Linked DNA regions of Danio rerio. The protein of the gene in region 2 interacts with the protein of the main gene of each other region in a biochemical or structural test. Links are inferred from orthologs where the notes say so. Each region holds a gene or a part of one and is shown on either strand. Other genes may lie near its edges.

What was found.
Region 1: the proteins of pex5 (region 2) and pex12 form a complex in vitro, tested with the Homo sapiens proteins (2 studies listed by BioGRID). The link is inferred for Danio rerio from reciprocal best matches to the Homo sapiens genes PEX5 and PEX12.

What each region holds. Positions count from the first base shown.
Region 1 is NC_133180.1:67,480,638-67,487,458, forward strand, and holds the start of pex12 (peroxisome assembly protein 12), read right to left. Parts: upstream 4,422-6,821; 5' UTR 4,232-4,421; coding exon 4,106-4,231; intron 2,088-4,105; coding exon 1,552-2,087; intron 1-1,551. Other genes in the region: uncharacterized protein, read right to left, coding at 6,497-6,821. UniProt on the Homo sapiens protein: Component of a retrotranslocation channel required for peroxisome organization by mediating export of the PEX5 receptor from peroxisomes to the cytosol, thereby promoting PEX5 recycling.
Region 2 is NC_133191.1:12,428,830-12,435,048, forward strand, and holds part of pex5 (peroxisomal biogenesis factor 5), read right to left. Parts: intron 4,887-6,219; coding exon 4,764-4,886; intron 2,299-4,763; coding exon 2,188-2,298; intron 1,698-2,187; coding exon 1,614-1,697; intron 247-1,613; coding exon 127-246; intron 1-126.

The sequences.
Region 1 (6,821 bases), on a different chromosome or scaffold from region 2:
ACTAAATGCTATTTAATGTAACAGTAGTTTATAGACAAAAAAATCCTGCAAATTTGGACCAAGATGACATATTAAAATACTCTAAAAATACTCACAAAGAAAAGGTTTTTAATCATTTAAAATATATTAAAATTTAAGGCTGATTTACACTTCTGCGTCAAGCACATGCGTATGCTATGGGGCAGCCTACACATGGACGCACAGCCCTCGCCGTGGCTGTCGGCGTTGCTGTTTTGCACCTCTCAAAAAATCGAACTACACGTCGCAGCAGCGCATAGCGCAAGCTCTGTGATTGGTCAGCTTGGAAGTACTGACGAGTATGGGTGGGACCGAGAACCGCGTGAGTCTGTTGGAGCGACTGTTTACAAGTGTCCAGTCCCGTGAAGGAGCTTCAGATGAAAAGTTTTGTTGTGTTTACCTTATGGTTAAAGTTGTTGCACGTCCGCCGGTTCCTGCCTCAAAATGAGCGAGTTTGAACCACTTGTACATTAAGGAAGCATTAAAAAAAAACACTAGCGAAGAGACTCGACCGGAGGAACATTTACACTTCACTGCCAACTAGTGTATCGGAAGTGTTATTGTAGAACAACAGAAACAGCGCTCAGAAGTATAAATGCATGGCTACGTGCGTTGCATGCGCCATGGGTCACGCCGATCACTTAACGCAGAAGTATAAACCAGGCTTTACTGTGCCATACTTATTATATTACATGCTTTAAGAAGTACAGGTCAAAATAAGTTTATCTTTTAATTTTTGTGTAAATGTTATGATGAATGACAGCTGAACAATATGTCCACAATATTTTTTCATTTTATTGCAACAACGGTTATTTGAAACGTCAAACTTTAATATGCTTTGTATGTATATAAAATCGCTTGAGAATTTAATTTGACGTGAACACATAAATACGTCTCATTTCTTTCTAATGGACTTTCAAGTAAATTGTCTTGACCTAAAGTTTTATATAATGTCTTAAGTATACTTGGTAAATAATAAGAAAAACAATGCACGTTCGAATTGATAACAGCATAACAAACAAAATGCAAAAATTAGGGCCGGCGCGTCCATGGAGGTGACCTAGGTGGCTGCCTAGGGTGCCAGAACAGTGAGGGCCCTAGTTCATGAACTGGTCACTAGAGTTTTCACTTTCAGGTTGAGCGCTGCGAGACAGTACCTTGCCCTGGCAAAAATCTATTTAGTTTACATTTATTTTTCTATATAGATAATGTATACGCAGCACTAAGAATATTAGAGTATGGGATTGCCCAGGGACAGAAAAAGAAGACAACTAACCTATATTCAATATACAGATATTAGTTAAAAATATTTACATGAGTTTTCCAAAACTTTGTGGGTTTTACTGATTTTCCAAAACTTTTCTGTGAAATGCCATCTCAGAATTCCATGACTTTTCCTAAATTTAGTGTTTTTTTTCCTGATTTTTCAGCACTTTTCTGGAAAATGCCATGTCAAAATGACTTTTCCAGGTTTTCCATGGCTGTATGAACCCAGCAATATAGTTTGCAAATTAAAGCACTAAATAAACTCACCTTTGACCGGAGCTCAATTCTGGGCCTGAAGGCTTGAGATCCAGACTGTGTATGTCATTAGCCGTGAGATATGACAGTTTAACCCCGGCAAGCCACAGAAGTGGAGAATGTGTCCGTGTTTTGCCGAAAACGTACAAAAGCTGTTGGCAGAAGACCCAGCCGTCCCACGCCATGCACACGAAAGGATACGCAGCCAAAAACGCCCTGTACATCTTCTGCAGGAAGGACTGCGGCAAGCGGATGGAGAAATCGTCCTCGTCTCTCTGTCGCGCCAGGATTTTCTCCAGTTTGGTGTGCAGGTATGGAATGAGGGCCAGCAGGAGTAAAGAGCGCCAGTGTTGCCTCCGCCGCAGTCCCAAATGGGCAGCACGGGCACTATGTGATCCCACACGCTTCAGGCCATAGAAGTTCTCTGAAAATGAGGCGCTGGTGCGGGACAGGAAGTGATGCTGCAATAACATATCCAGGATTACGTAAATCTCATCAAACCTCCTCCAGAGAACTCCATAGCGGGCAGGGTTAGATGTAGCGAGAATCTGTGGAATGTAAATACGGTAGTTACATTTTTTAAGGATATTTTTAGGGTTGTTCCGATACCGATACTAGTATCAGGAATACTTGCTGATACTGCAAAAATTCTGGCATCTGTGAAACCATAAACCAATCTGATACCATCTCTTTAAATGAGACTTATGCCTGCTGGCTTTACTTGGAGCTAGCAGTATACACCAGTGGTTCCCAAAGTGGGGGTCATGAGACAATGAGGAGGGGTTGCTTGGTGATTTCCAAAAATATCATATATGTTATTAAACTATTAGAATAACCATATTTTAGCCATAACCTACAGAAGATAAAAACAGTATTTATTAGTTGCATCAAATCGAAGAAGTAGTGCAGTAGGTAGTGCTGTCGCCTCACAGCTAGAAGGTCGCTGGGTCGAGCCTCAGCTCAGTTGGCGTTTCTGTGTGGAGTTTGCATGTTTTCCCTGCGTTTTCCCTGCAAAACCCGCGGGTTTCCTCCGGGTGCTCCGGTTTCCCCCACAGTCCAAAGACATGCGATACAGGTAAACTGGGTAGACTAAATTGTCCTTAGTGTATGAGTGTGTGTGTGAATGTGTGTGTGGATGTTTCCCAGAGATGGGTTGCGGCTGGAAGGGCATCCGCTGCGTAAAAACTTGCTGGATAAGTTGGAGGTTCCTTCCGCTGTGGCGACACCGGATTAATAAAGGGACTAAGCCGACAAGAAAATGAATGAGTTGCATAAAATAACAACATGCAAAAAAAAGGCTCTAGCCTTTTAATTCTTTTTCCATTGGATTGGGACCCCTGGGGTTATTACGCTAGACACACCAATAGTGTTAATTGCAGCAGACCTTAGATTTTACGACACAATTTTACATTTTGATACCTTTACAGCACTCACGTACACTATATATATATATATACATACACACATATATATATACATCATGCTCAACATAAATGAGTACACCCCATTTGCAAAATTAATATTTTAATCCATTTTTAAGAGAATAACGGTCATATATTTTGGTACATAACCGATATGTTTATTGAAATAATGCTTTAGTCATCGAACATCTTTAGAAATGGAAGGACGATACATTATTTATGGGACATATTGCAGAAAATATAAACAAATTACAAAATTTTAACAAAATATTATAGATTTTTTTGTTTCTCTTGATTTTTTCTCTTTTTTATCTTTATTTAATGGTTTTTCCCAAACATACATTTGTATGTACCAATTTTGGACTGTAATAAGTTTTTTGTTAGATTAGCTCCAAATTTGGCTTCAGAACTGACTAATCTAATATATTTGCACAAATATTGTAAAGCATCCTATTGAAAATGTGAATTTAACTGAGAGATCTGTGAGGTGTGCACTCATATATGCTGAGAACTGTATATATGTAATTAATATACACGTATAAATAATACATTTACTGTACTTTACCTTAATAGAAAGGAATCATTCTACAAGTAATATTTTAAATAGATTATTATTAATAATACAAAGGAAATACATTCCAAATAATGTTTTGGACACATTTATTACACTAGTGTTTTACAAGTGTACTCATAGTCTTTATGAAGAAACCAGACAGGCACATTTTACACCTGCCCTAAATTGAGTTCCTTTTGATCTTCTTTCTTTGACATACTATCTAGGGATCCTTATATTCCTGTGAAACCCTGCCCAATAATAGCAATTTTTTGCTTTACCTCCTAATGACGCTTTACGTAGTTTCATATTGATCTTACTGTTTTCGCCTCATTGCTAAACACTGTATTTGATTGCAACTTCCTCACGATGCTGTCATTGATGTTTCAGTCAGCATCCCCGTAATGGCGTGTAATAATGCGCCTACATAAATTCTGATAGTTTTACCGTAAAAAAGAAGCCACAAAGTAAACGATGGAGCATAATATGGGAAAATGGACTATTTATTTTATCCATGCGCTATTTATCGTCACAGTCCAAAACTCAAGGAGTACAAATGCAGGAGTACAGTATGATGAAAAAGCGAGCATACCTTGACAGCATGCAGTAAAGCGGGTTTGACAGCGGTCATTAAAGAGTCCTGCGCTAAAACCTCAAACACTGAGGGTCGATCTTCAGCCGGGGCAGCTGTGGTTAAATGAGCTCCTCGCTCCGCCATCACACCTGATGAGGAAAACTACTGCAAACAACAATAACGCCTTCCTACAGGTACGTCAGTCGAGCCTTTTAATGAGGACAATGGTGCTCATTTTACCAAACAAAATAATTCAGGAGAGTTACAGTGCTGGAAATCAACGCACTGGTCAACGGTCATCATCTGTCGCAACACTTTTTTTTCCCTGTCAGACGCGTTTTCTTCTTGGGGCTTTAACATCAATAAAACGGGTTTGTACTGACACCTGCTGTGCTGGAGGGTTCATGATAATCTACTGTAGACCTACAATCTGTGTGTGTATTTCGTAGAGTTTTACATTTTATAGGACAATTGAATTTAGATAAAAAGGAACCAAAGGAATCATATGAATAAATCCTTTAAAGATGAATCAAATGAATCACTTGCATATATCAACCTGTGGCGTCACAGCGGCGCAGTGGGGTGCACGATCGCCTCACGGCAAGAAAGCCGCTGGTTTGAGCCCCTGCTGGGTCAATTGGCAATTCTGTGTGGAGTTTGCATGTTCTCCTCAAACTTGTGTGTGTTTCCTCTGGGTGCTCCGGTTTCCCCCACAGTCCAAAGACATGCGGGTATAGTTGAATTGGATAAACTAAATTGTGTGTGTATACATACATGCATACATACATGCATAACGTTGCAATCAGTACTATTAAACCCTGTTTGAATTTTTTTTTCTTTTTTAAATATTTCCCAAATTATGTTTAACAGAGCAAAGAAATTTTCACAGCATGTCTGATAATATTTTTTCTTCTGGAGAAAGTCTTATTTGTTTTATTTCGGCTAGAATAAAAGCAGTTTTTTAATTTTTTATGAACCATTTTAAGGTCAAAATAATTAGCCCCTTTAAGCTATATTTTTTCGATAGTCTACAGAACAAACCATCTTAATACAATAACTTGCCAAATAACCCTAGCCTGCCTAGTTAACCTTATTAACCTAGTTAAGCCTTTAAGTCACTTTAAGCTGTAGAAGTGTCTTGAAAAATATCTAGCAAAACATTATTTACTGTCATCATGGCAAAGATAAAATAAATCAGTTATTAGAAATGAGTTATTATAACTATTATGTTTAGATAGCCGTTTGAGTTGTGAATGAGCCAAATAGGCTTAAAACACCTGTTTACTGTAGTAAAAACCACTTTCTATAATCAAGTACATTTTTTGCTTCCATGTTTAAAAAAAATCAAAACAGCCACTTTTCTAATTAAACTGTGAATTTAAACATATATAAACATTAAAACTACAGGCTAATTCACACATTTCATGATCTGATTCATAATAAATAAGGCTTTTTTAAAATACCACAACACTTGATGTTTCCATCTCTAACAGTGACTCTGGCAGTTTAAATGAGTACATTCACTAAGTGGTTCTGTCACTGTGTTTAATCCTTTCTGAGCAAGACTGTATGGTATAGTTAATGCCACAGGCACTTTAATGTGTTTTATTTTGGTAGTTCATTTTGAAATTTAAATAGCGAAATGTTCGATATGAGGCGAGGCAGTAGCGCAGTAGGTAGTGCTGTTGCCTCACAGCAAGAAGGTCGCAGGATCAAACCTCGGCTCAGTTGGCGTTTCTGTGTGGAGTTTGCATGTTCTCCCTGCCTTCGCGTGGGTTTCCTCCGGGTGCTCCAGTTTCCCCCACAGTCCAAAGATATGCGGTACAGGTGAATTGGGTAGGCTAAATTGTCCATAGTGTGTGAATGTGTGTGTGGATGTTTCCCAGAGATGGGTTGTGGCTGGAAGGGCATCCGCTGTGTAAAAACTTGCTGGATAAGTTGGCGGTTCATTCCGCTGTGGCGACCCCGGATTAATAAAGCGACTAAGCCGACAAGAAAATGAATGAATGAATGTTCAATAAATGCTACTTTTTCGAGGAAACAGCTGTGATTATGAGGTGAGCACCGATGAAACTGTAGATGGGAAACCCGATTGCTCCTCCATGACATTGGTGTACGTGTTATACAAGTGTATCTATAATATCTCTGCACAGCTGTGGTTTGCTGATCAAATGAAAAACGAAAGACGGGGAGGAGCCGGATTCTTCGACCGTTTTCATATCAAATTTAAAGGGGACAGGCGATAATTTAGTGTTTAGTTTATGAGCTAATCGTAAGAGTTTTTGAGATGCTGAATAGAATTATAGGCTACAGCCCCCCTAAAATAGGCCTAACAACGCCCATGACCTCAGAAACTTTTTTAAATAATAACAGAATCAAATAGAAGACAAATGGATAGACTTTCCACACTCAACCATCAACACTCTCTTCCGACATCTCCCGCATTTCTCCAGTGTGGATTTTCATGTGTTTCTTGAGCTGTAATGAATATGTGAAACTCCTGAAGCACTGATCACACGTGTACGGTTTCTCTCCGGTGTGAATCCTCTCGTGTGTCTTCAGGACTCCTAACTGAGTGAATCTCTTGTCGCAGTGTGAACACTTGTGAGGTTTCTCTCCGGTGTGAATCCTCTGGTGTGTTCTGAGGTGTTGTATCTGACTGAAACTGGTGTCGCAGTGTGAACACTTGTAAGGCTTCTCTCCAGTGTGAATCCTCTGGTGCCGTTTCAATTCT
Region 2 (6,219 bases):
GCAGAAACAAAGACCAAAACTAACATGCATGCACCATAACAAAGCACAGACTACTGGCTGGAAAAGAGCTCAAATTTTCCAGTTCTCTGTGCTGTAAACGGGCACAGATGTACACTGTCCAGATACCTTGTCGTAAGAGCTGCTGAGCATCTGGTCGAAGTCTGAGAGCCAGGGGTGAGCTTCAGCATCCCTCTTGGCCATTTCCTCCCACTCCTGTTGGAGCTTCTCCCAGAAATCAACATCGCTCTGTATAAAAACACACATACATACACACAGACCAATGAGTTAAAGCCAAAACAAAACAATCTTAATCTAATCTACAGACTTTAGGGTGACAGGTTTTAAGAAAATGAAAATTGCTAAAAAGTTTATATTTTGCAGCCGTGTTCATTTCGTCAATAAAAATTTGACAGGTTTGCTGTGCAGAAATGTGACTGAATGCACATGCTCTGATCTACTCAATTAATGACAGTGTGATGCTGAGGACCATAACAATAATTAGTGTTGGGTAAGTGTTTTGTTTTGTCCACATTTCAGTTTAGTTTCTTGTTCTAGGGATGTTCTGATAATTTTTTTCCCTTCCAGTTACCTGAGCAAACAAAATTAATTATTTATAGGCTAATGGATTTCTGTGCATACAAGGTTTCCCTATCGATTAAAGCGAAAGTGAAAGTAAGCCTAAATAATAAGGTGGCTCATCTCTCATTCTCGCGCTGTAGATGCTCTGTTGAACTTTTTTCTTGGTAGTGAAGCGCTCAGTTTTTCCACTTACAAAGTCTGTCATGTAAATAGCAATTTTGCGATGGCTCGACGCAACTGACTTTTAAAGGGAATGGGAGATGAGACTCTGATTGGTTTATTCTCAAAATACACCTATAACTCATTAAGAAAATAAGCTCAACCCTTTTAGACTATGCGCCATGGCGCAAAGCGGATTTTGTCGTCTTTATATTAGCAAAAGTGGATTCTGACACGCCCTTAATGTGTTTGTGCCCTGCACTTTGCGCATGGATCGTCAAAATAGAGCCCTTCAAGTGCAGAAAATGAACAATCATGTGTAAAATAACATGGCTATGATTGTATAAATAATAACCAAAAATAATGTTTAATGTCTATCTTTTACTCTTTAATAAATAACATAATCGTGCAATGTGACTACTGCAGAAACACATTGTGATATCAATACTTAATCAATATATTGTTCAGCCCTACTAAGATTTTACTGCAGATCTCACATTCATAACACTGAAACTGCTCATATACAACTAGTACTTAGTTTAGTTTAAATAAAACTGTAAGAAGTAACAATTCAGACTCCAGAAATGTGTAATTACTACACAAAAAAGCCCAAATACCCCAAAATAACACTTAAAGCGACAGTTCACTCAAAAATAAAAGTAATGCCATCAACCCTCCAATTGTTCTCTCTCTCTCTCTGGAAGATTTTCTGAAGAAGGTGTATAACAAACCAGCCATTGATTTCCACAGTCATTTTTGTTTCAAAATTTCCAATAACTGCTTGTTTCCCACATGTTTCAGAATATCTTGTTTTCCCTATAATGACAGCAATCAAATACAATTCCTCAAGTATTTACAGCCTAAACTGTGCTCACCTCGACCGCTGCTTTGGCCTGCTGGAAGTCTGGCCCGTAGGTGGCGAATTCATCGACCCAAGACTCCGCCGATTCTGCCGAAACCTACCAAGCACAGCGACATGCCAGACCATTAAACAGCCTCCATAACAAACCACAGAGCCTGCAAATGCTTAAACACTACTCAGCTGAAAGGAGAGAGGGGGGAAACAAAAAGACAACACACTGTGATTAATGAGAGCGAAAAGATGTAATGGAAAAAGGGCTCGGGAGACCAAGCAGAGGAAGAAAAGCAAAATCTCACCCTCATTCATCCGTCTCGCCTTTCCTCTCTACATTACAATAGCAAAGCATTGCTCAGTGTACCTTTTCTCTATTGCAGAAAGTCAAAGCTGGGCACAAATGAAAAGCAATGTGAGCAGGGCACTATCAGCTCTACAGGCCTGGAGTCTTGCAGCGATAATCATGTTAAAAGGGCTGTTAAATTAAAGCTTTCTTTGAGGCACAATAGTTTGGTCAGCGGGGGCTAGTTAATATAACAGAAATGACAAGCCTAATAGCACAGACGAAAACTAATGGGTCACTGTTGTCCTACCTGCCTGACGAGAGTTGCCCATTGCTCTGCCTGCTTAGCTTTCATTTTGTCATTCTTCTTTTTGCCCTCTTGCGTTTCCACTTGCACAGTCCCTTCCCCTGATTCCAGAAACTGGAAGGCCAGTGCGGGACAAAGAATGCGGGGAGGGTGGGCATTTATGGACAGTGTGCATTTGGTGTGGGATTGTTAAGAGAGCAGGAGGATTTAGGTATGGATGGAGGTTAAGAGGTTTAGATGTAGGGGTCAGGATGCCATTAAAAGATCGTTCAAGACAAAAGGAAGAAGGAAATATCAGAGTTACACTAAAGTGCTTGTTTGAACTTTGGGATAAAAAAAAAGATTTACAAATAAGGCAGGATTACAAGCAAAGTGTAGGACTTGGCTTGAATCACAGTGGGGGCAGATTTAAAAAATGGTGTAAGTTTTTTTTTAATTTAGATTATATTTATATATAAAAATATGCATAAAAAATAATCATAAAAAGGCTTACACTACCACTGGGGATTTTTTTTAAAGTTTTGTTTTGAAAAAAGATATTATATGATCACCAAGGCTTCATTTTACAAATATAATAATAATAATAATAATAATAATAATTGCTAAAATAAATTATAATTTTAAACAACTCTTTCCTATTTTAATATTTTAAATTGTCATTTTAATCTGTGATGGCAAAATAATACTCCAGTGTCACAAAAGCTTGCAAATATCATTCTAATATGGAGGTTTAACACTTAAAGGGATAGTTCACCCAAAAATAAAAAATTCTGCCATTATTTACTCAACTTTGATTTGTTCCAAACCAGTTTAAATCTTTTTTTTTCTTGATTAAAAACAAAATAAGATATATTTGTGTTTCCTACTATGTATGTTTATAACATCCTTTAAAAAACTTTGCGCAGGAAAAAAAAAAAATTTGATTTTGGGTGAAATATTTCTTTAAAAGACCTTTTTTATATAATCAGTGTTGAAAAACAGTGGTGAGGCTTCATATTGTAAAAAATCAACAGCATTTAACTGAAAAACAGAATTTGTAGGACATATAACTCTTTTGAAACTTTGCAAAATCTTTATTGTCTTTGTAAAATACACTCTTCGGGCAATTTATTAGGTACACCCTACCAGTACCGGGTTGGATCCACTTTTACATTCAGATCTGCCTTGATCTTTTTTGACATAGATTCAGCAAGGGGCTGGAAATATTCCTCAGAAGTTTTGGTCCATATTGACATAACAGCATCACGCAGTTGCTGCAGATTTGTTAGCTGCATGTTCATGATGCGAATCTCTCATTCCAACACATCCCAAAGGTGCTCTATTGGACTGAGATATGGTGACTGTGGTGGCATTTGAGTACAGTGAACTTATTGTCATGTTCAAGAAACCAGTCGGAGATGATTTGCGCTTTATGACATGGTGCGTTATCCTGCTGGAAGTAGCCATCAGAAGATGGGTCCACTGTGGTCATATTTAATTGGCACTAAAGTGTGGCAAGAAAATATCCCCCACACCATTACATCAACACATCAACACCACCACCCTGAACTGGGAATACAAGTCAGGATGGATCCATGCTTTCATGTTGTTGATGCCATATTCTCACCCTACCATCCAAATGACGCAGCAAAAAAGGAGACTCATCAGACCAGTAACATTTTTCCAATTTTGGTGATCCTGTGTGAATCGTAACCTTTGTTTCCTGTTCTTAGCTGACAGGTGTGGCACCCGGTGTAGTCTTCTGCTGCTGTAGCCCATCTGCCTCAAAGTTGTGCATTAAGAGATGCTCTTCTGCATACCTCAGTTGTAACGAGTGGTTATTTGAGTTACTGTTTGTTGCCTTTCTATCATCTCGAACCAGTCTGGCCATTCTCCTCTGACCTCTGTCATCAACGAGGCATGTGTATACAGAACTGCCACTCACTGGATATTTTCTCTTTTTTGCACTATTCTTTGTAAATCCTAGAGTTGGGTGTGAAAATCCCAGAAGATCAGCAGTTTCTGAAATACTCAGTCCAGCCCGCCTGGCATCAACAACTATGCGATGTTCAAAGTCACTTAAATCACCTTTGTGCCCCTTTCTGATGCTCAGTTTGAGCTGCAGCAGACTGTCTTGACCTTGTTTACATGCCTAAATGAACAGATTTGCTGCCATGTCTGTGGCTGATTAGAAATTTGCATTAACAAGCAGTTGGACAGGTGTACCTAATAAAGTGGCCGGTGAGTGTACCGGTAATTGTTTTTTATTAAAAAGAAATCCTTAAAAGAAATTCATATAATTGAAAAAAAAAATACATTATTAAACAGACTTTGAATCCTAAAAATTTCAAATGTGGTCTCAAACCCCACTGTATGTACCCTCCACACTCTAAACCAAATGAAACTATCAAAAACTGTGCTTCCCACAGCGAATGATTTAAAACCCAGCACTGCACATTGGCAAGGATTTTGGTGTGCAATAAAGCCATGCCTAACGTTGCCCAAGTAGCTTGAAAAGAGCCAAGATGGCTGCCAGGGGTCTGCAGTGTGACCCTTCACACAGTGTGTCCTCTATGGGAGGATCTGGGAAGGGCTCGTACCTGGTTGAGGCTGGAGGCCCAGTGCTCTGCCTCTTTGGCCTGTGCTTTATCAGTGTGCTCTTTTCCTGCTCTGTCCTCCACAGTCACACTGCCCTCGCCAATCTGCCTAATGAACCGCAGGAACTACACAATAACGACAACAACAACAACAGCTATTACACATCTACTGCTAACAGCAAACACATTGGCGATGCATTAAACACACACACACCAGTGGTTTCTTCTAGACAGTTAAGGTCAGACATAAGTAAACCACAAGGATAAAGGAGTAACGGCCAAAGGCACAACACATGACGAGGCATGAGCAGAGTTAAATGGAAAAGAGAGAAAAATGTGAACTAAGTAAAGAAATGGCAACAAAAAAATGTGTACAATTTCACATCACTTTAGAATCTACCACAAGAGGATAAAGAAACTCATCTAAATAGGTTAATGTGTTACCCAAACCTTTATAAATATATCCCAAAGTGCAGACTAAAAGGATTCCCTTGAGATAACATTAGATCAGTTTTAGCTTAGCTTAAGTAAACTCTTGTGATGGATCATTTGTGTGATGTGGCACTGGTGAAAGCACAGCAAATTCATTCCAACATGGATCCACTTCAGTCCGGCAAAACATATTGCATTATATTAACAAAGTCCCAGGGATGCAACATTTAATACAGAGTATCTTAAATATAGTAATAAACCTTCTTACATGTGGTTAAAGTCTTTACAACTCTCTGATTTAGAAGACTAGTTCACCCAAAAATTAAAATTCTGTGATTAATTTCTCCCCCTCATGTTGTTTCAATATGTTCCCGAAGTTATATGATAGGTTTTTGTATATGAGGTTTATATGAGGTTTTTGGTGAAAAACAAAGCGAAACTGAACCACTGTTTAACAAAAATCCAGATCTTGACACGGTTTTGAATGTTCATGAAACTGGTCTTGAGTCAGTTCATGCTGACTCTCCCAGGAAAACACACAAGTTGTGAGAAATCGTGATAAATAGAAATTATGCGACAGAAAATATGTGCTGGAAATATGTATGCTGTGCTCGAAGCACCAGATATTCTACTCCATAAAGAAACTACAAGGATTTCAACTTGAGTCATGTTCTGTTTTATAAAATTGTGATGTGAGCATCATACATGAAATTTCTGTTTATTTTAACCAAACCCTGTATTACATGACTGTCATTTAATTTTTTAAATTAGATATGGCAATATTTACATAAACCACTTATATAACCAACAATATAACCTAAACCAACTGCCGACATTCAACATTCATAATTATTTTGTTAATTAATATGCCATGTTAGTGAGTGAATGTGTGTGTACTCGTTTTGGTGGTTTAAAAAGACAGAAATTTGTATAATGACAATGATAACGATTTGTATAATGCATTACAATATTGAGGTGGTTTATGAAGACATAAAGCACCTCAATGTAATCCAAAATATTAAAAAAA